4 linked regions of the Bombyx mori genome follow. The protein of the gene in region 3 purifies or fractionates together with the protein of the main gene of each other region. This does not show direct contact. Links are inferred from orthologs where the notes say so. Each region holds a gene or a part of one and is shown on either strand. Other genes may lie near its edges.

Region 1 (8,518 bases), on a different chromosome or scaffold from region 3:
TGTTTCTGTGTCTGTAACAATTAAATGCAAATCAGAAAATTTGTTTACCTATTCAAGCTGTGGCAACATGAAAATCTTTCTACCTGTTTTCTGGAGTCTATTTAGTTTTAGTTAAATTAGTTTTGATAGCGTTTCTTTTATCCTACTCACCTTCCTCTTGTAACACCAATGTCTGGGTACTTGGACAGTGTTCCTGTGTGCCTTTAGCTGGACAAGTAGTTTGGGATCCCGCGCGGTCACGTCGTACATTTCCACGACGTCGGGTCGAGCCACTAGCTGCTTCAGTTCGGCCACTGACAAACGCGACAATTTTTTTAGTTTGCGTTTTGATAGGCGCTCCTTTTCGTCGGCTGCGTTTTTCTGAGAACATTTATACAATACAGTAGTTTGCTAGCAGTTATGTGAAAGGTTCGTGAAAATTTTAATTAAATTTAATATTTTTATTGAATCGTCAATTAAAATTCTGATGTATGTATTGGCATTTCAAAGTTGCTGTCAAAGGTAGTGTTAGTACAGTAATTGCAGTGTAGTGTAAAATGTTGTTAAATCCAAAAGTGGAACAAATTTATTAGAAAGTTTTTATGTTTTTATGACTTAATTTATCGTTATGTATGTAAAGTTGGTAATTTTAAGATGAATTTGGTTATTTACATACCTCAGCTGCCTCATCATCCGCTGCGAACTGGTCTTGCACTTTATCCTGATGTTTTGTTGGTTTTGGAGCATCCATACCCTCATCTTTGATCGTCTCTTCCTTTTTCTCCGAAATTTTAAATGCTTCCAGTATCCGATGGAACTGACGGTACATTGGTTCCATTTCATGAAACTGTATGTTTTCTTGCACGTATCTGGTTAATTATTTTTTAAATAAGTATTTAATATGTAAGTTAAACTATCCAAAATTGGATGGTACGAAATTTGAGATATTGAAGGATACTTTTGGACCATTCCCAACTATAACTTAAGCAAGCTTTTATTTATTTATTGCTTAGGTGTGTGGACGAGCTCACAGATCACCTGGTGTTAAGTGGTTACTGAAGCCCATAGACATCTACGACGCAAATGCGCCCCCCACCTTGAGATATAATTTCTAAGGCCTCAAGTATAGTTACAGCGGCTGCCCATCCTTCAAACCGAAACGCATTACTGCTTCACGGCAGAAATAAACAGGGTAATGGTATCTAACCGCGCGGACTCACAAGAGGTCCTACCACCAGTAATTACGCAAATTATAATTTTGTGGGTTTGATTTTTATTACACGATGTTATTCCTTCACCGTGGAAGTCAATCGTGAACATTTGTTGAGTACGTATCTCATTAGAAAAATTGGTAGCCGCCTGGGATTCGAAAATCGGTGCATCACTCAACACGATCTTCACCGGGCGGTCACCGGACATCTTTTCCTTTAGGTCACGACGACTTCAGCTACTGATTTCTATACGCGCTTGTCAAATGAAACCATATTCTAACGCAATTATTTTATTATTATTTACCAAAAAAGTTTAACGTTAAGCAGAGAGCAAGTCGCGGTCAGAATAATTGAAATGACACAAGTGAACAAAAAGTGGTTTTCAGTAAACGGTAACAGAAAATAAAATCTTATAGTGCAATTTAAAATATAAAAGCTTTTTTACACTCACTCAATATCTGCTTCTTTTTCATTTTCTTTGTCACTGGATCTCTTTTCTTCTTGTGCGTTGTTCTTTGTCTTAGACTCTTCATTGCGTTTCTGTTTAGCCAGCTTCTTTTTCTTTTTCTTTCTTTTGTTTTTATTGGATTTGCTAGCTTGGGACTGAGGAAGTAAAATGAGAATTAAATAAAATCTTTATTTCTTAATCTTGTAACGCAAGTAACATGTTTTAAAAAAATACTTAAATCAATATTATGAATACGATGATGAATTTTCATATACACAATAGTATTTACGATCATTGAGTTTATGGTTTTTGGATTATAAAGTCTGGGTCTTTGCTTATACTTACAAAAGATTTTAAGAGAGTTAGAGATTAAATGTATATCTTTTATTTTGTTTTTTTTCTACACAATATTTTTAGTCAGACTGTACATAAACAGTATCTATAAAAGAATAGGAAATGTAAGAAATATCCTTCCGGTTTTCAAAGTAAACTTGCTTGTATGCAACAATATTCAGATCATAAGCTTAGAGAGTAATATGTTTGATATCATATGAATAATATGATATCTAGTGTTTATCGTTCACACCTGAAAAATAAGGGCATTTCAATATTTCTAACTCAATGAAATATGTATCCTATTTTTTTTTTAAGGTTATTTTGCTTGCTGATAACTAATATATACTTTAATAAAAAGTACCTCTTGTTTGGAAATTACTGGTGGCATCGGTGGATCAGGAATGTTTTCATCGTCTGACTGTTCATCCTCTTCCACGTCATACTCCGTACTGATCACTGGAGCTGGCGGTGCTTCCATGTCTTTTTGCACATCTGTATAGGGGCAAAACATCATTATAAGGTACTGTTTAATGTGCTATTTTTTTTATTGCTTAGATGGGTGCACGATCTCACAGCCGACCTAGTGTTAAGTGGTTACTAGAGCCCATAGACATCTACAACGTAAATGCGCCACCCACCTTGAGATATAAGTTCTAAGGTCTCACGTATAGTTACAACAGCTGCCCCACCCTTCAAACCGAAACGCATTACTGCTTCACAGCAGAAATAGGCAGGGTGGTGGTACCTACCCATGCGAACTCACAAGAGGTCCTACCACCACCAACAAGGTAAGTGTGCTATTTTATATACAAAATATATAACTTTATAACTGACCCTTTTTTACAAAATAGAACTCAAAGTAAAGTGCTTGTTTGCCAATGTAGTTACCTCAATTTTTTTCAGAATGTCTATAGGATTTTTGAAAGAAATATGTAGGGAACATTTTGGATCTTAAAAGAGCAACATATACTGGTAGTAGAGTGTGCTGTGAGCATGCACGAGTGTGTACCATCACCTTGCCTATTTCTGCCATGAAGCAGTAATGTGTTTCGGTTTGAAGGGTGGGGCAGCTGTTCTACTATGAAATTTAGACTTACAATTCATGTCTGATGTTGGGTAGTGGCTTTTATGTGTTGATGTCTATGGGCTAGTATTTTCTGCAGATGTTGCATGATATAGGTATATTTAAAGCTACAGCTACAGTTTTACAGTTTACATCAGTGACCAGAAAAACTGTAGTTGTTCAAAACATTGGAAGCAATAAAATCACAATTAAAATATGAAATTAAACCATAAAAATTTTCAGTGTGATAAAAAAAAAATTTATTAAATATGGAAGTAATTTAGATTGCCGTGATAGATATATAGAGATACTGGATAAAAGAATAAAGGCTGGGCTATTTTCATTTAGGCTAAGAAACATAAACTTAGTTAAGATGGATGTTTAAGTTTACAATCATCATAATTAGTAATAATGTGCTCAGACTTTTAGAAATTCCAAATAGTTATGAATTTGTAGTCATCTCCTAGTAAAAATGAAACTTAAAATCGATTACAGACATTGACTTGGCTATTGACAATGATTAACTATAAAAATAACATAGAAATGATTAAGAAGAGAGTATCAGTATGTTTTGTATTTCATTTTATTATTCGTTTTTTGTTTCATTATCAATAATAAGTCCATTGAAAAAGAATACATTTTTAAGAAAAATTCTGAAACACCTAAGTGAATTTAAATCGGGATGGCAGTTCTAACATACAATTGAGCCTTCAACCATATATAATGGTGTGGTGGCTTTCATGTTGTGATGCCAACGGGCTCCATTGATAGTTTAATAATGTGTGGGCCATGGCTTGTTCACCAATCTATAAAATAAAAAAGTTACCTGTTTCTTTATCTTCTTCACTACCAAGAGCTGCTTGTCTTTGGTCTTTGTAAGCAAGAGCTTCTTCCAGAGCCTTTGGGAGTACTACACCTCCAGCATTTCCCTGTTTATTTTTAAATTCTTCTGGTGTTTCAATCTTCATGGTCAAGAGTGATGGCAGAGAAGAATGTTGGTCAGAGGATAAATCTTCTTCCCCATCTTCTTCTTCTTCTTCTTCATCATCATCATCTTGATCATTCCATCCTGGCGGACCATCACTTTGCATTCCCCACCCAGGCCCAGGGGGGCCAGGTGGACCAGGTGGGCCTGGTGGTCCATCCCATGGTCCCATAGGTGGTCTCATCCCAGGTGGTCCCATGTCCATATTTTGATTATTATAATTATTCTTATTACGCATCATATTTGGTGGCATTCGGGGTGGACCCATTCCTGGAGGTCCCATTCCGGGAGGACCCATTCCGGGAGGTCCCATACCGGGTGGACCCATACCAGGAGGTCCCATACCCGGGGGGCCCATTGGAGGTGGACCCATTCCAGGCGGCCCCATTGGCGGTGGTCCCATTCCCGGAGGCATCATTCCTGGTGGAGGTGGACCTATTCCCGGCGGCATGTTTGGAGGTCCACCAGACGAGCTAACAGGTGGTGGTCCAGGCGGACCCATTGGTGGAGGCCCCATGGATCCCGGTGGCGGTCCCATAGCTCCTGGTGGCGGTCCCATAGTTCCTGGTGGTGGTCCCATAGTTCCTGGTGGCGGTCCCATAGTTCCTGGTGGCGGTCCCATAGTTCCTGGTGGCGGTCCAATGGACCCCGGTGGCGGTCCCATAGATCCCGGTGGTGGCGGCATCGGAGGAAAGTTTGGCATCCCCGGTGGAGGCCCCACCGAAGCATTGTTATTCGTAGATCCGGTCCCTGGTGGACCATCCATAGCTAATTCACAGTACTGCTACTGAATTCACTGTATAAAATAGACTTTTAACTACAAAGGTATGATTTAGTTCGTGATTATTAAGATCTATTCATTTATAAATTTACAGTAAAAAACAAAACTGATTTGTTTGAGGTTAACGCGCTTGACAATAAGTGTCAACATACCACAGAGACTGTCTTGTCTATGGTATAATGTGGAATCTATGTGCTTAATTATAGATAATACTTACTGTTGTTTAAGTCGTCACTTTTTCGGTTCTTTTTTGGCCTTTGGTTTTAGTAAAACTTTGTGAAGGTCAATTTGACAATCGTCTTCTGTTAGAACTATCGATTTAACCAAAAAAAGGTTTCCAAGTAGATAGTTTCCGAATAAACAGTACTAAAACATATCGAACAAACCTCCCTTGAATTATATTTTCTCTTAATGCTTAAGGACGAACGAGCTAACGGCCCACGTAATGCTAAGTGCTTAAAGAAGCTCATAGACTTCAACAACGTAAATGCCGCCTTCCACCTTGGGATATGAGTTTTTACATTTTTTACAATACAACGGCTGCACCACCCATCAAACCGAAACAAATTGCGTCACGGCAGAAATAGGCATGGTGAGCCCGCATACACCTGCGCGGACCGACAAGACCCTTCCAGCCCTAGCACCAGTTAGTACCACCAGGAAGTAAATAATTATACTATTACAGATCGTACAAATTGCGTGCGCACACTGAATAGTTTTTTCTTTGCAAATAGGCACTATCCCTGTGATAGCACTTTCATTGAGCCCTCTTTGGCATGTGATGAGGAGAAGATATTTTCTAGAGAGAATATATCTTCTAGATCGAGGTTATAAGTAAGTAACTACTTAAATCACTTTTAACTCAAAAGGTTTATGACCGTAAACCAAGTTTAATGCATTGAATGGTAAAAATTATTTAAAAAAACTAGACCGTATAAGAATTATTGTAAAAATCCCATCACCTTCGGATTGCTCATTAAATTTTTTTTTGGTGACCTATTGCTAGTAACCACAAGCGGCTATGTTAGTTTCGCCGAACTTGTATGCGAGTTCACGTGGCCTAGCCTAGGAGACTTTGCGAGCATCAGCCCTAGCAAGAGCAGTGCTTCGCTGAATCTACCATCGAATCGGAATTGCGATTCACGCCGTTGATCCGCTTCGACAATGTTGGCACATCAAAGAGCTTCTTTTTATCTTTGCAGTAAAGTTGAAATTGAGTAATATTCACCGTAGTATATTTAAAATTTGCAGAAGCTTTTGAGCCTTATGTAGAATCTAATAATAAGATTCCATTTTTTGTTAAATTTATTGATTTAAATAAGTTGAATAAATCTAGTAATGTCTATCTCGTTCTGACGCTTTTACCAGAATGAACAGCGTACATAACAGCACTTTTGTTGTATAAATTTAAAGCTGCCGTCGAAAAATTTAAACAATTAACAAAGTAGTCTTAATTAAGACGTCGATTTTTATCATTTTTTATCTGATTTACATTGTTGACACTATAGTCACGTTTCATTCGTTACAGCTTATTTCGGAAATAAAAAGCTAGTAAACCAAGAAGAGGGCCTCAAAAAAATTAACGGATTGAATCGGATAAAATGCGCCATGGGAACTAAATAAGGGATTTCGGATTTTATGACCTGGTAACTGAGACCTTTAAGTCACATCTTATTTTAATTTATATTCATATTTTTATGAAAAATGATATTATGGAATGAAATGAAATGAAGATGATTAATTTGAGACATTAATCAACTGGGATGAAATGAGATGATATGGGATAAAATATAATCTCAGTAAAATGGTGGTCATTTACTAAGACTTTTTCAGTGGACTTTTTGGAGGATCCCGAGAAGTTACGTCCAGCGGCTTTGTTTCATTTTCCCACATTTGTGCACTTTCACAGATAGTAAACAGTTAATTAACCACCATTATTACACATTTAAACCCGAAGAAACACTAAATAGACAAAATAAAACAAATCACACAACTTCACTCCTCGCGTTCCCGCCAAAAAGTCCGGAACTAAATAAGAATTTTTTTAAAAGGATTTTATGACCTGGTAACTAAGACCTTTAAGTCAACTAAATAAGAGACAAATTGGAATCATAGATAATGCAAAACAAAGGTAAAGGTTTAATAAGCTTAAATATGAATAGATACTACGTCAAAATAGACGACAAATGGGAATGGGTATAAAAACTTGTTGAAAACAGATGAACAATTTCCTTTTTGTTATCAAATTTGTTTGATTAGATTGCTAACTTGCTAGTGTGGAAGTCAATTATTGCGTCACCAAAATAATAGTTTAAAATTAAATAAAATGGCTTTTTTTGCGAGGGAACTTCGATCGTGGCGGGTGTCCTTTTTTTCTTGTTTTAATATAATTTGATAATTTTTGTGTAAATAGATTAGGAAAGTTTGTTTAAGCTGTAAATACTTTTATTTATATTTAGATTTTAGTTTTTGTTTATATATATATTTTTATAGGGTAAGTTTTTTTTTTTTTTACTTTTACTGTACATGAATGAACCTGAAGACCCGGGGGGTTCTCCCCCTGCGGTCGCACATCATGTAACTATTTCATATGACTCCAGTATGGATACTGATGGGTCAAATAGCACGTCGATTTTGAGACGTAAAAGAAATACGCCTAAGACTTGCAGACACTGCAATAAAAAAAGGAAGAGGAACAACAAAAATTTAGATCATGGCACAGATTGTTCTTGTGAATCTAATGTTACTGAGTCGGTTCCACATAATATTCCTTCTTCCCCATCTTCACATACTGTATCTGACTCCAACGCCGCAGTTACACCTAATTCAGATAATGTTAATCGTTTATACTTACCTTCTGACGCAGCTCCCTTTGTTGTCCACATTAGTAAGATCATAAGTTCTCCAAATGACAATGTAAGTTTACATCCTGTCATTTTTGGTAGATTTTTAAAACACAATAGCTTCCAAAATATAGTCAACGGTAGTTTAAAAAAAATTGGCAGAAACAGGCTTTCTCTAGCTTTTAATAACCATTCAGATGCCAACAATTTTATCCAAAATTCTATATTACCAGCTAACAAATATAAAGCTCTTATACCTACTTTTAACATCACTCGAATGGGAATTGTAAGAGGGATTCCTATTGATTTAAGCCCAGAGCAAATTATCGAAAATGTTTCTGTTCCAATAGGGTGTGGTAGAATTTTAAAAACTAGAAGATTAAAAGTTAAAAAAACTATAGATGGTAATACCGTGTTTAATGATACAGAGACGGTGGTCATTACATTTGATGGACAAATTTTACCAACTAGAATATATATGTGCTATACAGCATTGCCTGTAGATTTATATATTTACCCAACCATACAATGTTACAATTGTTGCCGGTATGGTCATATTAAGAGCCAGTGTAGATCTAAGCCACGCTGCTTTAAGTGTGGACAGGAACACTCTGGAGATTCATGTACTGTTGATGATGATTTGATTCAGTGCTTACACTGTTCATCAATCTCACATACAGCTATAAGTAAGAGCTGCCCCGAACATGCAAGACAACGCTCTATTAAAGAATCCATGGCCAAAAGTTCGATTTCATATGCTGAATCTGCAAAATTACATCCACCTATCAATCGATCTTATTCTTCTGTAGTATCGTCTCCTTCTACTTTGAAAAAGAATCTGATTGATTCTTCTTACAACCTTCCCAATCAAT
Region 2 (7,169 bases), on a different chromosome or scaffold from region 3:
TGGTTCAATTACACATGAACCTACGATAAAAACATTAAATAAGAACAATATCTTTGCATTATCATTTATTTTTCAGTAAACCCAGAAGTGTTTCTTAATTATAACTATCTTAATATAATGTTTTAAAGCAGATAATCTAATTCGTATCTAATGAAGTGATTATTTGGGTCATTTTGTATTCTGGGATATCCTGCAACAAGTGCGTCCTGTCCTCCGATGTAAAGCGTATTGTAAATTTTCCAATAAACGTCGCGTACTTTCCTCGCTGGATGGAACAGGCCCTGTGAATGGTCATGCACTTCATTAAAGTTTTTTTGTAAATTAGTACTTTAATTTCAATATCCACAAAATCCATATCCACAAAAGTTATAACATCATAACATCTAGACATACATAATAATAGAATTTAGGATTTATAACTAGAAGATACAGAGCGACCTAAACTTTAGTAGTATTTTACATTTCCTGTCGACACCAGAAAGTCATATATTTTTACACCTAGTTCTTAGCTAGGGTACTGATGGAGCTGCCTATATGTGTCGTGCCTGCGATTTTAAGCACAAGGGCAGCCATTATTCAAATTAAGTTGAGACTTACAAATGTTGCAATTAATTGGGTGGCGTTTTCGATAGTATAGTCTCTTAACGGTATTGGGAACCGTTTAACATAACATACTCCGTGACCACATTCGAAGTGTATATAGATGACAATATTTTATATCACATATACTTCAGAAACATGAAAATAGTAGTTAGAAGACGTATCTTTTAATTAACTCTTAAAAATGTTTTGATGAATATTACAAACCTGTAATGCATATTGAAGTATTTTAATGGGACCTAGGGCAACTCGCATGCCCTCAACAGCGTCCATGAAGGCTTGCACCAGATGCGGTGATGTCTCAAAAATATTTGGCCAAACATGATTTAATAGATGTACTAAGGCATCTTCACAGCCGAAACCATACACGCCGAGCGACATATGTTTTATGGCAGCGCAAGCCGTTTGTCTGTGTACTAAATCTCTGTGAAATTTAATAATCAATTTTATTGGGGTTTGAGGAAATATTGATTAAGCTTAGAAAATAAAAAGCTTCTTTATACTAATATCCAATGAATCTTAAATAACAACGTATCTATATTACTATTCAATACTGATCTAATTTATACAACGAAAAAGGAAAATGTTTTTGGGGCAGAAAACATGTAACATACCGATCCATAAGCGCGTCTTCCAATAATGGGCAAACTGCATAAATGTAATCCTTGCCCATTTCTCCAATGTACTCGAAAAGGAAAGATAGTGATTTGAGCACACCGTTTTGAACATTTAATTCCGGTACTCTGTATTCATTCATTAAAGCAGGTAGCACTGTGAAAGGTGAACAGGTCTCTGCAACTATAGCAATAGCGACCGTTGTGCACACTCTGAAAATTAATTACATCGTTAAATATCTCTCTTAGTGCATTAGTTACACGAACTCCATCCATACACAGAAAACATCGATCAGTTTACTAGAACCGATTCGTAAGTGTCTAAAGGAAGCGTGAGAATGGTACTTTGAAAAAGCGGCGCGATACGATAACCCACTTTTTCTGTCCATCGCTAATTCGACTCAGGCGACGGAAAGGGCAAAGTCGCCGTCACCGAAATATGTCTTATCAGATCCCTTTTGGGTGCTTCTATTCTAGGCTCCAAGCATCAGTCACCGCCCTCGTCCAACTCTTCGATTACGACACAGTTCGACGAGCGAAATAACACCCACTGAGTTTTTCGCCGGATTTTCTCAGTGGGTCGCGGTTCCAAGTCGGTGGTAGATTCTGTGAATAACCAATTTTAGCGAGATCTCTCAGGTTGAGCCCTGTGAGCTGACCTAGCAACCATGGCATCGCTGAAATAGCCCCTTAGGCTACCAGAGAATATGTAGGGAAATAAAATAAGTTTACTGTAAATTTAGATGGGCCAATGTGATCATAATATATCTGAAAAAATTATATCAACTTCCTGTGACCATATTATTATTAAGAATTTATTTTGGATATTTTGGTAAAACGGGTTCTTTTATTTTGATTACCCTATGTAAATGATAATAATAATAACAAACATGCAGGATCTAACGTATCCTACTCATTTTAATAAGCTAACTAATCTACTAATAATTATTAATTAAATAATGACCTGTTCTGTCTCTCTTGCACTTTCAGATTGTTAAGTAAGGTTGCGAGTACGTCATGAGGACCGATGGCTTTAGCAATATAACCAAAGGTATTTACAGTCGCTCGTCTAATTGCCTTCTTATGAGCCTTTAATAGTTCAAGCAATTCAAAACATATTCTCATCCATTCTCTGGCCGACACAAATTCCGGTCCTCTGTCTGCAATACGACCCACTAAATCAATACAATTCTCTTGTACTTTTTCATGCCTGGAATTAAAAAAAAACATATTAAAGATTTAATTTAAAGATTCTATGAAGTTATCAAGTCACTATTTATAGAACAAGGTTACCTGTTTTTCAAAATGGGTGTAAGCCTAGGCAGGAGATCCTTTATTGGTGGGGTCATCTTTGTCATTCCAATAACATTGACAATTGCTTTTAATGCACCAAGTATAGAGCCTAGCACTTCAGGATATTCCTCTCCCAAGTACTCATACAGTACAACACCAAGATGCCCCATTAACTTTTCCTATGAAATAGCAAGCAATTAAAATTTTCAAAATCAATTGGTAATGATGTTATAAATTAAGTATATTTGGATACATTTCCTAATGTATCCAAATATACTTCAAGACAAATTAAATTCGGTGTATGGACCCCCGTTAACTTTGCGACAGTTGAGCTTGTTTGCCCATTTTGTAAAATATATTACGAAAAAATTATACTACATACTAATTTAGTAAGGAAGCATAGCGTACAAGAGGATATGGCAAAGAAAATGTGATTACCTCCTGACAAGTTTTCATCACGACAGCGATCCGAGAAATGAGATCGGCAGCTTGTTGCCGAACTTTAGCAGACTTGTTGTTCATACGCCAAAGAATAATACCACATATCTGTGGTAAATAGGGCTTTACGCGTTTTCCCAATTGATTCACGATTGTTCCAAAACCGTTCAGCATCACAACATCCTATCGAAAAATCACAATTTGAATCATATAAAGTTAGAGATTACTTACAAAAGATTTGTGTCACGACTTAAGTGTTTAAAAATCAGACATTTAAACTTTTTTTAATGTTTTACCTCAGTTGTCTGTTCTTGGAATGCATACAATATTCCATCGATAAGAGCTTCTTCGAGCTTAGAATCAATGTCTGCTGCTCCTAAATTAGCGAGAATCTTTTCAATGGACTCCATCACCATTTTTCTATACTGCTCATTGTCGTCTTTTAGATCATCAACAATTCTGTTGATAATTTCTGATGCACCGACCTGCGATCAATAGTTTCACAATGTAAGCAATGCCTGATTGGGAAAATGATTACTTTTGAGTGAATTAATGGAAATACAATGATTCTGGTCGAAATAGTTAGTACCTTGTTTGCAATTTCCACTGTGGTGTCGACAAGCTGGCGATAGTTTCGTCTGTCGAGGGCCATACGATGGTTCCAGAAGTGTTTAAAGAAATGAGGCAATATTTCATCCATTATGTATTGAGGCTCAACACCGTCGGTACCGCAACATTGTTTTACTACCTAAAATATTAAGTACAATGTGTATTAAATTACATTACAGTGATTATTGGTTTTGGTGAGATAATTAGTATATGACTGATGCATTATCTAAGACTTACAGTCTAAGCTAATAGGCATGTTTCATGTTAGACATTTGACTTTATTATTTTATCCGCAACAGCAACAAAGTTGCTTCCTAATGATAACTAATGATAACATTCTCTCTTTTCTCTATTCTATTCTTCACAATCCTGATGCCCCTATCTATCTCCGTGAACGCTTTGAATATCTGATTCCTGACGGCAAAGTTAGTCGACAAGCCACTTCTCTTCTTTTAAAAACTCCCATACACAGCTCTAGTCGCTATAGTGGCTCTTTCACAATACAAGCAGTGCGATTATGGAATTCTCTCCCTCAACCTATTCGTGCTAGTTCCTCTCTAGAAGTTTTTAAGAGTCAAATGAAGAAACATTTCCTGTCACTTTAATCGTATTTAAGTTATTGTTTTATGTATTTTTATTTATATGTATTTTTCATTTAATATTAGATTATTTTTTTAATGCTTAGTTAAAAATCATGCTTTAATAGCTCTTATATTGTACACTATTCCCCTCTTATACATCGTATTTCTCTCTGATAATGGTTTGCTGGAAGAAAACTCATGAATGAGTTAAGCTCGCCTTTGTACATAGTATTTAGAATTCTTTAAATCTGTTTTTATTGTATTTTCTTTTTGTGTACAATAAGTATAAATAAAAATAAAATAACTCATTAGGAAGCAACTTTTTTGTAGAAACAACATCGTAATTCGTTGTAAAACAAGAGAGTAGAGATCACTATTTTCCAATGGATATACAGATGTGTGTGCATATTATGTGTATGCAACAACTGGCCATCTCTCTCGCATATCTATAAATCATATTACATTAATAGCAATAATGTTATGAAACATTAAATTGTTTTTTATTTTATTATTTGAAATCTTTTGAATTGATTTGATATTGATTTGAATAGATATTGGTTAAAATCTTTTGTTATTTGAAAATTAACCCCACCCCATACCACTGCAAAATGTTTCTAAATCAGAAACTTTAATTAAGAAATGTTTATATGTAAACTTTCTTAAAACATTTATAGGCGATAGAAACATGAAAAAATCAATAAGCACCAAAAATAGAATTACAAAAGAAAAAAAAGAGACATACTTTTAAGACGATTTTTTTCATTTCTTCATCGGGCGACTGGAACTCACGAATAAGAATTAGCATCACTTCTCGTGTGTAGTAATTCGCGTATTCTGCATCCATGAGAGGGATGAGGTATCCGATGGCTTTCAGGAATGCAGCCAGACCTTTACCACGATGCGTACGAATACCTTTCCACAGAGGTTTGAGCACGGAATCGAAGGACTCGATACCGTAGGGCGTGGCGGCCTCGGCCAGAGCCGCGCTCGCCAGCGCCGTGATCGTTCGGACCTTCTGTTGTTCGTCCACCAGACCTATTGCATAAAATGAATTATTTAAATACTGTAATTTAAGAATCTTTTTTTTCCCTACCTAAGCTGAAAGCCTTGAGAAGCTATATCAGCGTAACCTTAACTAGTAGGTAAGCTCACGGGGCTCAAACCTGACGACGTTGCTAACACGAACCCTAGCAAGAGCCGTGCTTCGCAGAATCTACCACCGGATCGGAAACGCGACCCACTGAGAAGATTCGGCGAGAAACTCAGTGGGCTGTGTCTGAGGGTTAATTTACTCGTCGAGCCCTTCGTCGCAAGCGACGGGTTCGACAAGAACGATGGCCGGTGCTTGAGGTACCTAAAAGCACCGTTAGTGGATCCGGAGGATCCGAAATGACGTGTTTAGAATCAACTAGACAACCGAGACATTAGTTATGTTTAATGTAAAACTGAGCGGCGGTACAGACGATTCTATTGTGTCCATTAATCGCTAACACTAGATCGCATCTGTTCATCAACGAAAATAAAATAGTATGTAGTTAAGAATAAAAGTTGAATGTCTTACTTAGAATACTAATGCAAAAAATAAGTATTATCTACCTATTATTACAAAATATCACCAAATATTGTGTCAACAAATACATGGCGTAACTATATCTTTGGGCTACATTATATTTATAAATCGAATAGAGGTAAATATTATTGTTAAATAATAATTTATAATAATATCAATTTTATTTTTATTTTATTGCCGTAGTAGGCAGACGAGCATACGGCCCACCTGATGTTGAGTAGTTACCGTCGCTCATAGACGTCAGCAATGCCAGGGGCAGAGCCAGGCCGCTGCCTGCCGCTTAATACTCTCCACAAGCCTCGTTTGAAGAAGGACATGTCATAGCGCTCGGGAAAAACCGGGACCTTATTACATTATTACAGTAAATGTACAAATACAAAAATATATGTTTATACTAATGATCGTCGTCAAGTCATTAATGCAAAGTGATATCCAATTATGTTAATTGATTGGTCTTTAATAATGTGTAAAGTTTCAAATTAATCAGATGTTTCTTAGTTATTAAAAATTACTTTATAGGATTACACAGGTAAAAATACGGGTTAAACTAATAGAGGCATATTAAGAATACACTGATTAGATTATATTCTATGGTTTACGGAAAAGATTGGTGTTTTTTTTTTAGTATAGTTACAACAGCTGCCCCGCCTTTCAAACCGAAACGCATTACTGGTTCACGGCAGAAATAGGCAGGGTGGTGGTACCTACCCGTCCGGACTCACAAGAGGTTCTATCACCAGGAACCACTAGGTGTTGTGGCATTCCGAAAGTTTCAGTAAATCCTTAAAATATAATTAAAATATTAATCTTACCATGTTCAATAATTTCAACAAGAGATTTCAAATGTGGCAGAATAGCACAGCCCATCAGAATAGCAATTTGTTGCACAATCTTTATTCCTGTGTGACGTGCTTGCCAGGATTTCTTAGATCTGCACACAGCTTTTAAAAATGGCAATAAAGATGGAATACCTGGAAAAAAAAAGATTTCTTTTATGGTGTTGAAGATGTGTTATGTTAACAACAGCCTATGTTAAAAATAGCTTATTCTTAGGATAGGAATATAATAATAGGGAATAGCAAGTATGCAAACTTGAACAAATTATTATAATTTCCCCATAGACTTAACCATACCACTAACTCAAATCATCATGTTCATAAGACTGTCAAAAAGATTGACAGCAAACTATAAAACAGATTAAATTACATGTGTTAGTACGGACCCTGTCAGTATTTTTTTGTTTTTAGAGGAAACACCATAGAGGCATAAGACGAGGCGAGGGACAAGAAGACGACAGTAAATATGCCCTTTAAAAAATAATTAAATATTCATATGACAAAACTTACCCAAGGCCGATGCCACTACCGCAAACGCTCGAGCGGTTGTGTTTCGTACATACTCATCTATGTTGTCTATATCAGGCCTCATTGTAGAAATCATAGTAGCCAAGCCGGCTGCTTTAGC
Region 3 (8,632 bases):
GAATACGAGAGAGTGAGATGGAGCGAGTGCATGAAACTGCGTGTGGAGCTCTTTCATATTACATTTTTATTAATATTGAAGTTATGCTCTACGACCTACGTGTTACAGTCGATAGTTGAATAAATTAAAATGTTTTGCTATGGATTTTGACCTTGACCATGCATCATTCCTACGAGCACTTAACCTTAAGTGTTTGTGGACCATTTCTTAGAAAATCATAATTCAAAATTCGAGAATTTTAAAACATTCACCACTTTCGCTATTCGGTATCTCGGTTATGGGAAAAAGGTTGTAAGGCTACAACGAGCTTAATTTACGTTGTATATCAGAATAACGTGGTATTTTAATTAACAACTGATAGGTTATAGTTTCCGGTGCATCGTACAATACCTACATTGAAAAATAATGAAAGTAGTAGAGTAGTTGAAATTATGACAAAGTAATTACAGTACATTAATAAATTATGCAACCAGCTGTAACAATGAACCTAAAACTAAAAACCTTACAAAATAATAATTACAATAATAATTGCCATAAGCGGCAATCTATTTTTATATAGTGCTTTTAAAAAATTGTATTTTTAATACCTTTTTTGAAAAATATTGTGTAATTAATAATAACTTAATACGTGATTCGCTACACTACAAACAGCTACTAGACTTAACATGTCCGCGGAACTAAACAGCTTCAAACAGCTACTAGACTTAATATGTCCGCGGAACTAAACAGCTACAAACTACAAACAGCTACTAGACTTAACATGTTCGTGAAACTAAACAGTTCCGCGAACATGTTTACTGGAACTAGTTCCGACACTCAAAAGAACGATGTCATGTTCAATCCAGTTCCGAACATGATTAGCGCACGTCTAGTTTGTACCTATAGTCGGATTTTTTATTAGACGAAGTAAACTGACGTTTACTGTGTTGTCAGTTTTTGATGAAATAAAAATAGTGTTGTGACAAAGTGAACGATTGAAAAAACTCCTGAATTAATGAAATTGCCTCGATTGTCTAGTGAATAGTTAGTGTGCCGAACTGCCGATATCGGGCACGGGGTTCGAATTTTAGCCGTGCTTTGTACATACCAACGAGTTTTCGACGAAACATTATGTTCCTATGGTATCTACCTGTACTGAATACCGACTGTTTTAAACATTAAGAAAAACATTGCGAGGAAGCTTGTAAGACTGTCCTATTTCCAATGCATCATATAGTTGAAACTATAGATGTATAAAATATAACAATTATAGGTACATAGGTAATGAAAATAAAAAAAACTGATTGTAGTTACATACTACTAGTAACATATTATTATATTGGATCACTTTAATACAATTTTATTGTAAAATATAAATAATATTCTTTTATAGTTTGAAATTAATGATTAACTCTTCACACTCATTGTTCATTTATGTGATTGAACGAGAACTGAACGCATCACTATTACTTTAAATATAGCAACATTATTTCACAAAGTGACATTAGCTACTGTCAGCTGGCTTCGTCTAATTAAAAATCCGACTAATTTTTTATTAGACGAAGTAAACTGACGTTTACTGTGTTGTCAGTTTTTGATGAAATAAAAATAGTGTTGTGACAAAGTGAACGATTGAAAAAACTCCTGAATTAATGAAATTGCCTCGATTGTCTAGTGAATAGTTAGTGTGCCGAACTGCCGATATCGGGCACGGGGTTCGAATTTTAGCCGTGCTTTGTACATACCAACGAGTTTTCGACGAAACATTATGTTCCTATGGTATCTACCTGTACTGAATACCGACTGTTTTAAACATTAAGAAAAACATTGCGAGGAAGCTTGTAAGACTGTCCTATTTCCAATGCATCATATAGTTGAAACTATAGATGTATAAAATATAACAATTATAGGTACATAGGTAATGAAAATAAAAAAAACTGATTGTAGTTACATACTACTAGTAACATATTATTATATTGGATCACTTTAATACAATTTTATTGTAAAATATAAATAATATTCTTTTATAGTTTGAAATTAATGATTAACTCTTCACACTCATTGTTCATTTATGTGATTGAACGAGAACTGAACGCATCACTATTACTTTAAATATAGCAACATTATTTCACAAAGTGACATTAGCTACTGTCAGCTGGCTTCGTCTAATTAAAAATCCGACTATTACATATTTATATTTATTTTATTTTTAATTTTTTAAATTAAATTGTATACCAATTAATTGCTCCTTCAGGATTTATATTTGTTTTTTTTTCACGACTAAAACCGCGTAGAAAGTTTAGCCATTATAGTTGACGCATGCGCAGTACACATATTTTGCATACATTTATTCAACTAATAAAAATAGTAAATTAAACAAAAAACGAGTAACTTCGAAAGAGAACAAACGTGTTTTATATAAGAACAATCGAAAATGAATATTTACGAGTCATTAAGGATGAAAAATATTAAAAATTGCATTAGAGGGGCTAACTTGTAGGTATATTTTTAATTTTTTTTTTTAAATAAATAAATGCAGAACAAACAATTATTAACAGTGAACAATCATGAACAAATGATGAACAAACGAATTAATAGAAAATAAGTATAAAATAGGAAAAAAATATTTTTTTGAGGGGCTAACTTCATTCACCTGGCTATGTCAGCGTAACCCTAACTTTAGTAGGTGAGCTCACGGGGCTCAAACCTGGTGAAGTAGGTGAGCTCACGGGGCTAGTAGTAGTTTTATTTTTCCAAATGGAAAGGCACAGGTATCATACCACACAGCGTAATCTTTTATATGTATTTTTTATTTTATGAAATATGATACTATGAAATGAATTGAAGTTGATTAATCTATGAAACATGGCATGAAATGAAATGAGATCTCAGTAAAATGGCGGTCATTTACTGAGATTTTTTCAGTGGACTTTTTGGAGGATCCCGAGAAGTTTATGCCATAGATATGATATTTAAATATTTTTTTAAGGGATTTTATGAACTAGTAACAAAGACCTTTAGGTCAAACATTTAAACATAATTTATGCTATACACAGGTTAATTTAATGAAAGTTTATCTCATTTAGTTGGAGTTTGAATATAAATGTAATGGCAGGCAACACTTGACACATGATTACAGATTTTGAATATTAGAATTATTTTAAATGCTTAATAAACAGATGATTGTCTTCTCGTAAGAAAAAGTCAGTACTTTTAATCTAGATATGGTCAAAGCAACATGTAAGAGTTTTACAAAAATATAAAGATAATAATTTTATAATGGTGTAACAGTGTTCAAACTATCTGCAATATAATTATAATGAAGCAGTGTTTTTTTAAATAGCCCCTCATTACCTACAGAACCCAATCCCCTCAAATTTAAACGTCCAACATTTTTCATAAAAATAAGTTTATAAATTAAAATAAGACATGCCTTAAAAGTGTTAGTTACCAGGTCATAAAAATCCTTAAATAAAAAAAAGTTGAGAGCACTGATTGTCAGATTTGTCTGATGTCAAGCAATGACAAGCATTGAAGCAACAGCAGTAAAAAGTTGAAGCGATAAATTATCAAGCAAGCAAATTAAGCATTTGTCGCCTGGTTGATTGAATTTAATATATAACTATGGCCGAAGATCTACGAAATTATACCTTACAATTGCAACAGGTAGGTAATATACATTATACCCAAAATATTTTTGTTTACCAAATATTTTACTCACTCTTGATGGTATTTTTCTTAGGTGGAGGCAGCGTTATTAACGGATCCACATAACGAAGAACTTTTGAAGTTAAAGGCTGATTTAGAAGAAGTAATTGAATTGACACAAGATTTAATTAAGACTCAAGACGGTGATTCAAAAGTCTCTAATATTCATGGTTCTAGTAATAGTGATGATGTTACAGCGTCCCTGTTGGCTGCAGAGGAACGAGATCCTGCAACTAGGCACTATTCTAAATGGATTATTGGCGAAAAATGTTTGGCAAAATGGAGAGCTGATGGAATGTAAGAATTAAAAAATGCTTTATTTCTGGAACTACTGTACACTTTTTACATTACAGTACTTATAAGTTAAACATATTGTATGTGAATTAAACCGATATTATAGTGATCTTAAAATTCTAGGTTTTATGAGGCTCTCATTGAGGAGGTGCTAGAAGACAATTTAAAAGTAAAATTTGATGGATACACAACCTTGGAAGTAGTCTCATTGACTGATATAAAGCCTTTAAATTCAGGAAGTAAAAGACCACATAGTACTGATGAGAGCAAGTAAGTAGAAATAAATCTCCTTGTTTTATATTTCATGAGATACATTATAATGAATACCAAATTGACCCTTGAAATACAACTGTCATCAAATAACAAAAATACTTACAATGTACTTAATAAAATTATAATATTAAATACTTCAATTATATTTATATATATATTATTAATATTCCATTTGAATCTCATGACTACTGTATCATTTGGTCCATGTTGTATAGCTGTGCAGTGAGTTTTACTGTTTTTAGATATAATGTGATTCTTGTCAAGTCTCAATCGTTGTGTTTACTGAGTAAAAAAAGTTATTTTAAAAACATTCAGTTCATGAATAATGTTAGATAGGTTAGAATTAATTCTTTAATAACATTTGCATTTTCGCATTGGCAGTAAACACTGGTTACAAAATTTGTTTAAAATCAGAGTTATTGTGATTTACATTATTTTAATTGAGAATGACAATTTTAACTTGAAGATATGCTTTGTCATTGGTATCATTTAACCTGAAATAAAAATGGAATGGATAAATGAAAATGGAAATGGAAATTTAAATGGATAAATTTTGAATTTACTTGTAATTGTGTAAAATTTATTGGCAGCAGCCTTCTTAGTATTCTTTGTGTTCCGTACCATATTTTATTTTCCCTGATGCTGTAATGTACCAAGCAAGCACTGAAATAATACTTTCATCTACATCATTTTGTAATTTTTGCATGTTCAAAACATATTTAAAGCTACTTTTACAGTATAATCTTGTAATTACTATTTTCATGATCAAAAAATCAGTAGTAAAAAGTATTAAGAAACAACAGAATCAAAGATGAAATGAAAATATTCAATGTGAGATTAAACCGTAATTTCAATTAAAATTGTTATTGTTGTGGAAAATGATTAAATTTGAATATTTGTTTCAGACTTATTGTATGATTAATTTTTTTATTTAATTCTAATAGTATTGTTGTAAATTGTAGAAAGAAATACATTAATTGATGTTTTTCCACTTTATATTTAGTGCTTACTGGAGCCCATAGAAATCACATAATTAAATATAAACATTGACCTTACCACTAGTATATATAAGATAGGAATGATCCATATGAATTAGGAACTTAGGTAGGAAATAAAGATAAAGATAGTACAAGTAGTTCACTGAGTCTGGGGTCATATCTGTATCTGATATCTTTTGTGTGCTTTTTCCCCAACCTATTATGATAAGAGCATAAAAGATAACATCCACTGAAAGTCTAGTGAAGGAGAACTCCACTTTAAAAAAAAACAGATGGAATTTAAATTCACTAATATAATGTTTTTCTTTCCAGACATGGCAAAGGGTATAACAGAGAGTATTTAAAGAAAAAAAAACAGAAGAAACAACAAAGATTCAAACAGATTGAAGAAGAACGAGAATCTGAGAAGAATAAGTGGTTATCATTTCATACTAAGGCTTCTAAAAAACCTGGTGTCAGAACAAAAAGTATATTTGCTTCTCCTGATAATCTGACAGGGAGAGTAGGAATTGGTACTTGTGGTATATCAGGTAAACCAATGACTGAGTATACACCTGGCGAAAAGTGGAAGAAAGGAGGATAAAAGCTTCAAAATAATTATAATTGTATCATTGTTTAGTTTTAATAGTCAACATATAGAAAATGGCAGAATATCGTTAAACTTCATCAAAACATTTATTTACTAGTGCAAAGGTTCAAATCTGGCCAGAGGCTGAACATAAATAATATTGAAAACATATTTCCGGGACTATTCTTCATTTATGAATGCACAGATAAATAAACTTTATTGTTAATTTTGCTGTAACTCTTTACATTAATTTATTTCATCTAATGAAATTATCAGTATGGGTCTCCCGAAATATTTATACCATAACATGGCTTTAGATTTTTAATGCAGAAAATGAGAGCTCATGTTCTACCGATTTTTTTAAAATAATTGAGCAATAAGTTATAGTCTAGATTCCAGAGGATTATACGGCAAGGTAAAAGCATAAAATTATTATTTATCTCAATAGTGGCCCTTAAGACCAGCCTTAGCAACTATCATTTACAATATTTTCTCAATGAAACAATGATGAAATATCCTATTTGTCTGATTTGATATAGAATATAGTCACTTGAAGAGGAAAACGTCTTATCTTGAAAAAATATTGCTGATGATACCCTAAGCCTGTATATAGTTAAGGTAGTCAATAATCGGAGGTGACTTACAACGAAAGATCTAAAGTACTAGATTGTGTCGTAATCAGTGGTAGGGTTGGGATCGCATATTTTTTTCTCTTGTGTTAATACTGCAATTTTCTGTAAATGTTTTACAGTACCAACCTATTGTATTATATGAGCTCTGTTATTGTCTAACGATATTTTGTCGAACTTTTAGACAGGGTGTAAGGAAACGGCTCTTGAAGTTGAACCGGTATAAATTACTTGTTTCTTAACATAAATGAAGAATAAAAAAACTTGGCTAATTACAAAATATAATTATTGTAAATACTGCACAATATAGAACTAATGTGTTCTTGGTAATTGCGTTGAGCCACTCATAGAATGTTGATGGTTGCCGACGCCGGGTGCCTATAATATATGTAAACTATAAGATATATACCTTTTTTTATTTATTGCTTAGGTTGGTGGACGAGTTTACGGCCCACCTGGTGTTAAGCGGTTACCGGAGCCCATAGACATATACATCGTAAATGTGACACCCACCTTGAGATATAAATTCTAAGGTCTCAGTATAGTTACAACGATTGCCCCACCCTTCAAACCGAAACGCATTACTGCTTCACGGCAGAAATAGGCAGGTGGTGGTACCTACCCGCGCGGACTCACAAGAGGTCCTACCACCAGTAATTATGCAAATTATAATTTAGCGGATTTTATTTTTATTACACGATGTTATTCTTTCACAGTGAAAGTCAATCGTGAATATTGTTGAGTACGTATTTCATTAGAAAAATTGGTACCCGCCTGAGATTGCACCGGTATTCGACCGGTGCATCGCTCAACACGAATGCACCGGACGTCTTATCCTTTACGCCACGACGACTTCTAATGTGTTGTGATTGGTATTACAAAAGTGCTACAATAATATTAAAGGTTTTATTTAATTTAGTTTTTTAAAAGGTAAACGAGCATATGGCTAATACTATTGGAAGTTGTCATTGTGGCATGGACATCAGCAATGCTTGGGGCATATCTAAGTTGCTGCCCGTATATAAATAAAAATTTAATACAAATATATCTTAAAGCGAATGAAAAAAAAAACAAGAATGCTATAAAGTTTTTCGAATCAGTTTTTTTGTGTTATAGTGTTAAGAATCGCTTGCATCCCATCTGTGGCCCGGAGCTGTTCCCTCACACCTTGTGATTATATATGTTTGTAGTTTTGTAAAGGCCTAACTCACAAAGGTCAATAACAGTTAATGTGAGATAATTCCTTATAGGAATCCATTTAACTGTAAAACGACAAACTTTGGTTTTACAGCTTAATCACCACATGCCATTGTCGTTGTGTAACAGGTGATTAAGTAAACGATGTTTACGAATAAGCCGGTCATAAATCAGTTATGTGCGTGTCGAATATGACAGTAATACGCGTGTTTATTGAACTGGTAAAGCGGAAATAAAGTTTACATTTTACACAACTAAGTTGTTTTATTAAATCTTGCCTTCTTCCATCGCTTCATGGGTAAACACAGTAATAGAACATCTGCACAATCTTAAATGAGGCTGTTTTCAAGATGTTTGGCTAATGGCATTTTATTAAACGGGTCCTTCTAATGCCCTCCTAATGGTAATTTATTTAACGGGTCCTTACCACGGTTTTCACTTTTGATGAGTACCTACCCTTCATCACGATCACGGGTCCGCCGTCAGACTATCAGTTTATCTGTGATCATACCGCTTGCAACAGCGCCGAAATATCGGGAATTCATTAAAATTGAAAATCGTGGTAAGAAACTATGGTAAATAATAGTGTGCGTAATGTAGATAGTCACGAAAGTTTAAAACAATTCGTAATAAATAGCGTATTTTTTTTTGAAACAATCAATTTTTAAGCGGAATCTGCATGTTTTACATATTTTTTACCGAGAGAAATGGGGTATCTTCCAGGTACCATTATCACTATATAGTCAGCATACCTCTCAGTAGGTATGGACCATTCAACCTCAGAGTGAGAGAGTTGGCAATAAGGCAACAAAGTAGTGGTGGAACAATCCCACCCTGTAGGCATCGTCTTAGTATACTCATTCTATCACCATGTTTGAAATAAAACTTAAAACGCGATTTCCTTTTAGCTTTCCGTTTAGCCTCCTTATATTTGGTCGAGATTTTAAATTTCTACATGATATATGATAGGAAATTGCGTCGTAGCG
Region 4 (8,827 bases), on a different chromosome or scaffold from region 3:
ACTTGCCTCAATACCTTTCAAGTTAATGTACTTTTCATAACACGAATGTAGGTCCAAATACTTTCCATAGCCTTCTTCATCAGTGAACTCGACAGGAACTGAAAATTTATAATTATTTTTTTCTAATACAATTAATAATAAAATAACATAACTTCTGTTGAAAACAACAATGATGACAATATGTACAAAAAATATTTAATATTTCCAACAAATACCTGTGTAATCCTCAGCAGGATTTTCCCTTTGATTTGCCAACTCTTCAAATTCTACAGACATGGGTACAGATATCTACAACAGAATACATCATGCATATGAAATAAATTTTAAATATATTGGGTACTGATGAAGGTGTTTATGAAAAATGTTAGGGTGCTAATCTGACCCATAAAATTTAAATAGATCCTTAACCTGTCTTACTCATCGCTTTTACATTCATGTATTTATTTTCTGGATCCCAATCAAGTGTCACTCCTCGAGACAGCTAGCAAAATTAAACAACTGGCTGCATTCTGGCAAGGGAGTCAGGATGCTTGTATCCCACACATCCCACATAAACATGAATTAAATCAAAATATAAAAAAATGGTTTATTAATCAAATTATTATGCAAAATTTATACAAGTAATAACTTTTCAGGTGTAAAAATTTCTACATCTACATAATAGATGCACTAAATCACAAGTATTTTCTATTATAATTATTGTAACTCACTTCATTTGGATGTTTTCTATGAAACTCTTTAATTTGCTTAAGTCTCGAATAGAACTCCTGGAACTCATGTGGACCTGACAATGCTGATATTTCTTCTTTTCGTAATCCATCTTTATCTTCATACAATTCTTTAAGTCTTATAGAGGCTTCAATATATCTCTAGAAACAATTAATATATGCTAAAAGACTAGTGGTTACACAAACTGTAAATTTAATTGTATATACATACATCATGTAAATTCTTCAAACGATGATCAGCATTTATAGTCTCCCGATGCTGAAGAAACATAACCATTATAATATATTTCAGCATAGTATGTAGTATATGCAAAAAAAAATTCAAATTCTATAACATACAGTGTACAATTATAAAACAACAAGTATTAATTAGGTTTACATCAAAAATAAATATATTCCATAGCAAATACTTTCATCATGAAGCAATTCTGATTTCCTATACATTAGAGAAAAAAATTACATTTCCTCAAGTCTAACATTAATTCCTACGATCATGAGCTCTGTTAGATATATAATATTTATTTTTGGCTTAGAGAAATAATGCATAATTATTAATTATGCATAATCAGTTACAAGTACCTAAGGAGAAAAAACGAAAAAAAGAGATGACGAAATAAAAGAGCGCTGGAAGATATATTTTGAAAAATTAATGAATGAGGAGAACGACTGGAATAGAGTGATTAATAGGAAGCCAGAGAACGTCGGATTTGTGAATGAGATTAGTATGTATGAAGTTAGAGAAGCAGTGAGAAGTATGAAAAGCGGAAAATCGGAAGGACCAGACGGTATACCAGTGGAAGTATGGAAGATACTGGGAGAAGACGGATATAAGTGGCTGACTTTATTCTTCAATAAGCTGCTGCAAGAAGAAGTGATCCCTACGGAATGGAGCATCAGTACGCTGGTGCCCATATACAAAAATAAAGGGGATGTGCAAGACTGTGGCAGCTATCGGGGAATAAAGCTTATGTCTCATAGTATGAAAGTTTGGGAGAAAGTGATAGAAAAGCGATTGCGAGATGAAAGTGAGATCACCCAAAACCAGTTCGGGTTCATGCCTGGTCGCGGGACAACGGACGCCATATTTGCACTACGCCAAGTGTGCGAAAAACATCGCGACGTGCACAGGAATCTGCATATGGTGTTCGTTGATCTAGAAAAAGCGTACGACCGAGTACCTAGAGTAGTTTTGTGGTGGGCATTGAATGAGAAAGGTATACCTGGTAAGTATGTGAGGTTAATCTGTGCCATGTACAGTCGAGCCAGGACGTATGTACGAACCGCCGCGGGGAATTCCGACGAGTTCAATGTGGCAGTGGGCTTACACCAAGGGTCTGCACTAAGTCCCTATCTCTTCCTGCTTGTGATGGATGCCTTGACATCGGAGATACAGGAAGAGCCCCCTTGGTGTATGCTGTTTGTCGATGACATAGTACTCGTCGGAGAAAACGGGCTCGAGGTCCAAAACATACTGGAGAAATGGCGATGCAAGTTGGAGAGTGTTGGCCTAAAAATCAGCAGATCGAAAACCGAACATCTGTTCTGTGATTTTGGCGGTCTCTCCAATTTTACACCCATTTCCCTCGACGGAACACCTTTGCCAGTATGTCAAGACTTCCGATACCTAGGGTCTGTTATCCAAAGCGACGGTGAACTGGATCGTACTGTGAGGCACAGAATTGACGCAGGATGGATGAAATGGCGGCAGGTCACGGGCACCATATGTGACTCGCACATCCCTCTTCCCCTAAAAGGGAAGATATATAAGACCTTAATAAGGCCTGCCGTCTTGTATGGATCAGCTTGTTGGACAACGAAAGTGGCGGATGAAAGGCGATTGCATGCAGCAGAGATGCGAATGTTGCGATGGATGTGTGGAGTAACGAGAATGGATAGAATACGGAATGAATATGTTAGAGGAAGTCTGAAAGTGGCACCTGTGACAGAGAAGCTGAGGAGTGCACGTTTGGGATGGTATGGACATGTGATGAGACGGAATGAAAATGAGGTTGTTAAGAGAGTGTTAACTATGAATGTGGAAGGATTTAGAGGAAGAGGTAGACCTAAGAAGAAATGGATGGATTGTGTGAAAGACGATATGGGTAGGAGGGGAGTGAGCGAAGAAATGGTATATGATAGAAGAGTATGGAAGGAGAAAACATGTTGCGCCGACCCCAGGTGACTGGGAGAAGGGCAGGATAATGATGATATGTAATTACATAATAATGCAATTTGTTGATTTAGAAAAAGCGTATGATAGGGTTCCCCGTGAGGTTTTGTGGTGGAGCATGAAAGTGAAAGGAGTGCCAGGGAAATACCAACGGCTTGTTCGAGCTATGTACGGTAGAGCTAGTACGTACGTACGCTCCGCAGCTGGCAATAGCGACGAGTTCAGTGTGGCGGTAGGCTTACACCAGGGATCAGCTTTAAGCCCTTACCTGTTCATCCTAATAATGGATGCCCTAACATCGGACATACAGGAAGAGGCGCCTTGGTGTATGCTGTTCGCCGACGACATTGTTCTCGTTGGAGAGGAAGGGCCTGAGATACAGAGGAGATTGGCAAAATGGAAAGAAAGGTTGGAAAACGTGGGTTTGAAGATCTGTCGAACAAAAACCAAGCACATGTTTTGTGATTTTGGTGGTTCTTCAGACTTCACGCCAATCGACTTCAAGTACCTCGGCTCTATACTCCAGAACGACGGCAACATAGACCGGGACGTCGCAAATCGAATAAACGCTGGTTGGATGAAATGGCGACAGGTCTCTGCAACAGCATGCGATCGTAGAATGCCCCTTCAGCTCAAGGGCAAAATTTACAAAACGATCATTAGACCTGTCGTGCTGTATGGATCTGAGTGTTGGGCGACGAAAGTTAAGCAAAGCATGAAAGAGGAGTGCATGCGGCAGAGATGCGAATGTTGAGATGGATGTGTGGAGTGACAAGAATGGATAAGATAAAGAATGAGTATATCAGAGGAAGTGTGAAAGTGGCCCCGGTAAACAACAAATTAAGGAGCGGACGGTTAGCGTGGTATGGACATGTGATGCGTAGAGAGAAGATGCATGTGACTAGGAGATGTATGGAAATGGTAGTGCAAGGTAGAGGGGGAAGAGGTCGACCAAAGAAGACATGGATGGAGTGTGTGAATGACGATATGAGAGAGAGAGGAGTGAGTGTTGAGATGACGGCTGATAGAAGAGAATGGAAGAGAAAAATTAGCTGTGCCGACCCCACATAGTGGGATAAGGTGGAGAAAAAGAAGAAGAAATAATGCATAAGCCCACAGCCTAAATAGTATTAAATGGTTACTTGTACATTAAGACATTAATGCCACAAAATAAGAGTCTACTAGAGGCTTCAGTTCTGACTGGTGTGTAGAATAGCTTCAAGACAGAAACTAACAAAGTTGTAGTGCCTAATAGTACCATACAAGGTGTCCCTAATGGGACAAACCAAATCAACAATAAATCAAGCTGAAACATTGTTATAGATGGAACAATGCAGATCACATTAAAAATGTAAAAAATCTAAGTTGTAATTAGTAGTTTCATAACAAAACTAACTTATTAATTGTTTCATCTGTTCGATAACAGCCCTGAATTTATACAACAAAGGTACCATTCATTCAGCAGTTCATTCAAATGTTAAATGCATCAGAATTAGACATTTAATTTTAAACAAATACATTTAGTTCATTTCTAAAAAATAAATACAACAAAAAATGTAACCATATTACTATGTGCAATAGGTGTACTAGGTGATTGTTACTAAGTTTCACCTTAATGTACAAACAAAAAAATCTTTGAAGGGGTATTCATGTGTGTATGTATTTCAATAAGCTAACATCAAGCAACTGTTTTTAATTTATTAACCTCAATAAGGCACCCGCACCCCTTAGGTAAATCCAATCTACAGTGATCATGTAACATGGCTTACCCCAGTTTTTTTGTGAAGAATTTCTTTGACCATTGCGTCCATGGTTCTTTCCCTTTCCTCATGGTAGCTTCGTTGTTGCTCTAAAATTGTTTCCATTTTTAAAGGTTATAGAAATTGTTTTATGTCAATCACCTTGTAAAATACAATAATATTAAAATAATGATTAATGATTTTGAAGTTTAAATTATGTGAGAAAATATATGGTAGCATACAAAATATGCTTCAACTCAGTTGAATCAACTGTACTAAATTTACGTTACTGAGTATTGAAATCAATATTTTAGATAATAACAATAATGAAGAATCAAATCATCAACGTTTTTTAGATATATTTTATTCATTGAAGTAGTATGTATGAAATGTATACGTAAACCATAGATACAGTGTGACCATCTCTTAACTATAGATCCTGCCTTATGCCGGCCACTGACATGCGCGCAAATATTCGTACATTGTACGAATGTTTGCGCGCATGTGAAAGGCCGTCAAACATTCATTCGCAAACCTAGCGGCCGTGCAAATGGGTTCGCATACTCAATTTGCGAACCCGTTTGCGCTTCCTCCTACACTTGTTTACGAATGTCTCACGAATTTCTCCTCCTTTTTAATTCGTCAATAGAACATTGAAGAGAAAAAGAGTTTTGAATTCTTTCCCAGACATCATTAACAGCCATGCGGTTTTTATGGGATTTCTTTTGATGAAGATACGCTACACAGTAGACGTGAAAAACTATGAAAATGGCGATTCGTCCGTTACATTCGCAATCGTCGGCGCAACTGGGCAAACGAATGTGTGAGAGACTACGCGAAGGTTCGCGGTTCGCGCGCTTTGATGTCTGTTAAAAACCGACACAGCTTGGAAAACCACGAATGTGGCGAAAACTTTGCATAATCATTTGCAAATGTCGTCCTACACTTGCGGGTTTGCGTATTCGTGCGCATGTGAGTGACCGGTGTAAGAGTCCAATCCTGCCAAAATGGCAAGATCCTGCCACATATGGTCACACTGCATAGATATTTTTTGGTACAATTTTTCCTTACTAGGAAAAGCAAAGAGATCTAAACCCATACAATCTTGTCTGTTCTAAAAATCATAGATATTAATAGAGATACAACTAGGATTTTTTTAAGGGCCTGGATTTAAGTCTTTTAAACCAGATAGCTGTTTGAATTAATAGTAACAAAGATAATTTATCTTAATTATATAACTTAGTTTTTATTTATTGTTTTACTGAACCATAAGATTACTGCGACAAGTCTCGAGATCTTTGATAAAACTCGGTAGGCATCGGCTTTTTTTTCGAAGTCCCTGCATTTCCGAAGTCCATGAGCAACTACAGCCACTCAACACCAGGTGGGTTGTTTGATGAGCTGCCTACAACAGCAAATGGAAGAATATTACAACGTATAATTTGATAAAAAATACCTTTTATCGCAATGCAATATCTAAATCATCATGCCATGGCGAAGCTATCATTCATAAAATACAATGAAAACATTTATGTAGTGCTAGAGATATAATCATTATTATATTTTTTTTAATTTCCGAATGGAAATATGAACAACATTAAAGACATGCATATTGGTTCTAGAAGGAAGAGGTAAGGAGAATCATCTCATAAGGGAGAAAAAATTAAAGTGTCCAGCTGTATGCTATAAATCAGTTCAAAAACCTCTCACAATCGCGCTGGTGTAGACAACGGATATGGTATAAATGTAGCAATCATTGAACTGAAGTATGCGGAGTTAAAAAAATAATATAATTTCGACGAAATTTCGTTTATTATTGATAATTTCAACAACTTACGGTGTACAAAATACTACAGTAAATATAACCATAAAAAATTAAGTATTACAAGAAAACGTGTACCTTACCTTTTGTGATTTTATTTCGTAATCTGTGAATGGTATAATTATTGATTTAGAAAAAGTATCTGTCAAACCTACTCTCTAATAATATTTGGCGGTTCCTTGAAATTATACCTTGATGCTAATGTAGCGTTACCCTAATTTAATACATTTCGACGGACAGTTTTCATATAGATACCTACACAGTTCTACTCTACCCTCCATTGGTATTATTTGTTAGTGATGTGCAGAGTTCGCCTTTTTTTGCATTAGAATTTCGAATCATTGATTCGAGATTAATGATCCAGAAATTCGGTACACTGCAACGCGCTTATGAAAATTACCGCGTACGTTTTCAAAAGAGTAAATCCTTTTAAAAAAATTATGGTTTCAATGAATTCAAATAAATCATCAGAATTTCAAGCTTGGTTATATTATAAAATTCTTTTGATATTATAAAGTTATGACACTTAAATTTCTTTCATTTTACAGTGAATAAGTAGGTAATTACTTAGTACAGTACAACAGTGGTAGCTATAAGTCACTAGATAGTAAAGATGGGTTAATACCGATATTTGTCAATATTAGCTAATACGAATATATTCATGATGTAATATTATAATACCTTAACTAATACGTAAATATATCCTGATATCTTAATAAACTTCGATAAAACGGGTAAACGAGTTAAACCTAGTACGGTATTCATGAAATACGTTAATAATCATAGTTATTACACATAAATTAGTTATTAAATGATTATAAATAGTATATTGTATCTAGGAATTTGACTTCATACTAAATATTTTACAAGTACTACTGGTGGTAGGACCTATTGTGAGTCCGCGCGGGTAGGCATCGGCCTGCCTATTTCTGCCGTGAAGCAGTAATGCGTTTCGGTTTGAAGGGTGGGGCAGCCGTTGTAACTATACTTGAGACCTTAGAACTTATATCTCAAAGTGGGTGGCGCATTTACGTCGTAGATGTCTAGGGGCTCCAGTTACCACTTAACACCAGGTGGGCTGTGAGCTCATCCACCCTTCTAGCAATAAAAAAAAAAAGGAATATTATGTACATTAAAATGAACATTATTATTAAATCAGAATTTGGTCAACATTGTTCATAAATATAAACAACAAGTTAGTAATATTATTTATTTCTTATTGGTGCATAAAAACATCAGCTTTTTTATTTTTTCTACCGAAAGACTGGTACGTCGCTCAGAGTGAGTATTCCAGATTCCGAAAAAAACCTCTGACACGGTACTGAGGTGGATAGTAGGTACACAACAGTTATAATATTATAATCCACGAACCGTTTGTTTCGAAAGTCATTTCGATTCAAAAATCAAACTTTTATTTATATTTCGAGAAGTTCTTAGAAGATAATTAAATACCACCGCAAAAATATATTGCCATCATAATTTATTACGTAAAAACACTTAATTTAGTTCTGGCCCTATTACGTTTTGTGTAAAAATATTTTAATTTATGAAATTGGTAAATAATGTCAACTACCTACTTTCGTTTTTCAAATCATCGTTTTAAAACCAACTAATTCGAAGGAAACAGAAAATAAAATTAAAATAATGAAAATAAAGCTCACCGATTTTATTCCAATAAATGTGAAAATGTACTATTTTGTCTTGAGTAGAATCTTTAGTAGAATCAAGAAATGAAGGTTCAAACATAAAAAAGTAATGCGTTTGAAAATTCCCACGAGCATCTTTGACATGTAAAAAGTGCAATACAAAATAGTCCTTAAAATCATACCGAAATGTACTTATTTTCATTGCTCAGTATATAAACATGTAGATTATCTCACTTAATCTTAGCGCATGCAGTATGAATGTGATAAACAGATATCCGCGGGACATGTACGGCGTATGCCAGTATATTTTCGTGTGATAGATACTTCGCTAGAAGTAGCAGTGTTCTGTGGTAGATACAACCCGACCGATGTGGTTGGCTATTATTATGAATAAGTGAATACGGAATATTAGCATATCAGAATTCGACGGATTACCGATACACGAATACAACCTGTATTACGAATATCTTAGTGAATTCTTATATATCGGTACCACCCTTACTAGATAGCATTTTTAATGTTGTAGACAGGTTTACGTAACTGTGATACTTACCAATATTCAACTTATATGATTTAACCACATGAAACTAACAAAATATAATTGATGTGACATGTCCTGTATTAAAGTTAATTTACTTTCCAGGTGAATTAAAGTTGAAACTTATACTCTTATCGCAAACCCAAACAAATAATTGAGGGGTAATTTTCAGACACTGTTAGGT

Evidence for each region.
Region 1: the proteins of survival of motor neuron-related-splicing factor 30 (region 3) and splicing factor 3B subunit 2 purify together in Homo sapiens (affinity purification with mass spectrometry; 3 studies listed by BioGRID and IntAct, with this or other methods). This does not show direct contact. The link is inferred for Bombyx mori from reciprocal best matches to the Homo sapiens genes SMNDC1 and SF3B2.
Region 2: the proteins of survival of motor neuron-related-splicing factor 30 (region 3) and splicing factor 3B subunit 1 purify together in Homo sapiens (co-immunoprecipitation; 5 studies listed by BioGRID and IntAct, with this or other methods). This does not show direct contact. The link is inferred for Bombyx mori from reciprocal best matches to the Homo sapiens genes SMNDC1 and SF3B1.
Region 4: the proteins of survival of motor neuron-related-splicing factor 30 (region 3) and splicing factor 3A subunit 3 purify together in Homo sapiens (affinity purification with mass spectrometry; 3 studies listed by BioGRID and IntAct, with this or other methods). This does not show direct contact. The link is inferred for Bombyx mori from reciprocal best matches to the Homo sapiens genes SMNDC1 and SF3A3.

The regions. Positions count from the first base shown.
Region 1 is NC_085131.1:3,900,089-3,908,606, reverse strand, and holds the start of splicing factor 3B subunit 2, read right to left. Parts: upstream 5,165-8,518; 5' UTR 4,789-5,164; coding exon 3,864-4,788; intron 2,467-3,863; coding exon 2,336-2,466; intron 1,794-2,335; coding exon 1,642-1,793; intron 849-1,641; coding exon 656-848; intron 361-655; coding exon 151-360; intron 1-150. UniProt on the Homo sapiens protein: Component of the 17S U2 SnRNP complex of the spliceosome, a large ribonucleoprotein complex that removes introns from transcribed pre-mRNAs.
Region 2 is NC_085116.1:8,408,202-8,415,370, reverse strand, and holds part of splicing factor 3B subunit 1, read right to left. Parts: coding exon 7,052-7,169; intron 6,677-7,051; coding exon 6,518-6,676; intron 5,171-6,517; coding exon 4,878-5,170; intron 3,694-4,877; coding exon 3,535-3,693; intron 3,431-3,534; coding exon 3,242-3,430; intron 3,129-3,241; coding exon 2,946-3,128; intron 2,687-2,945; coding exon 2,508-2,686; intron 2,425-2,507; coding exon 2,179-2,424; intron 1,428-2,178; coding exon 1,215-1,427; intron 1,025-1,214; coding exon 808-1,024; intron 282-807; coding exon 123-281; 3' UTR 1-122. UniProt on the Homo sapiens protein: Component of the 17S U2 SnRNP complex of the spliceosome, a large ribonucleoprotein complex that removes introns from transcribed pre-mRNAs.
Region 3 is NC_085111.1:9,513,896-9,522,527, reverse strand, and holds survival of motor neuron-related-splicing factor 30, read left to right. Parts: upstream 1-3,431; 5' UTR 3,432-3,603; coding exon 3,604-3,645; intron 3,646-3,721; coding exon 3,722-3,984; intron 3,985-4,104; coding exon 4,105-4,251; intron 4,252-5,564; coding exon 5,565-5,835; 3' UTR 5,836-7,900; downstream 7,901-8,632. UniProt on the Homo sapiens protein: Involved in spliceosome assembly.
Region 4 is NC_085112.1:8,795,724-8,804,550, forward strand, and holds the start of splicing factor 3A subunit 3, read right to left. Parts: upstream 5,106-8,827; 5' UTR 4,764-5,105; coding exon 4,668-4,763; intron 988-4,667; coding exon 940-987; intron 870-939; coding exon 711-869; intron 289-710; coding exon 216-288; intron 99-215; coding exon 7-98; intron 1-6. UniProt on the Homo sapiens protein: Component of the 17S U2 SnRNP complex of the spliceosome, a large ribonucleoprotein complex that removes introns from transcribed pre-mRNAs.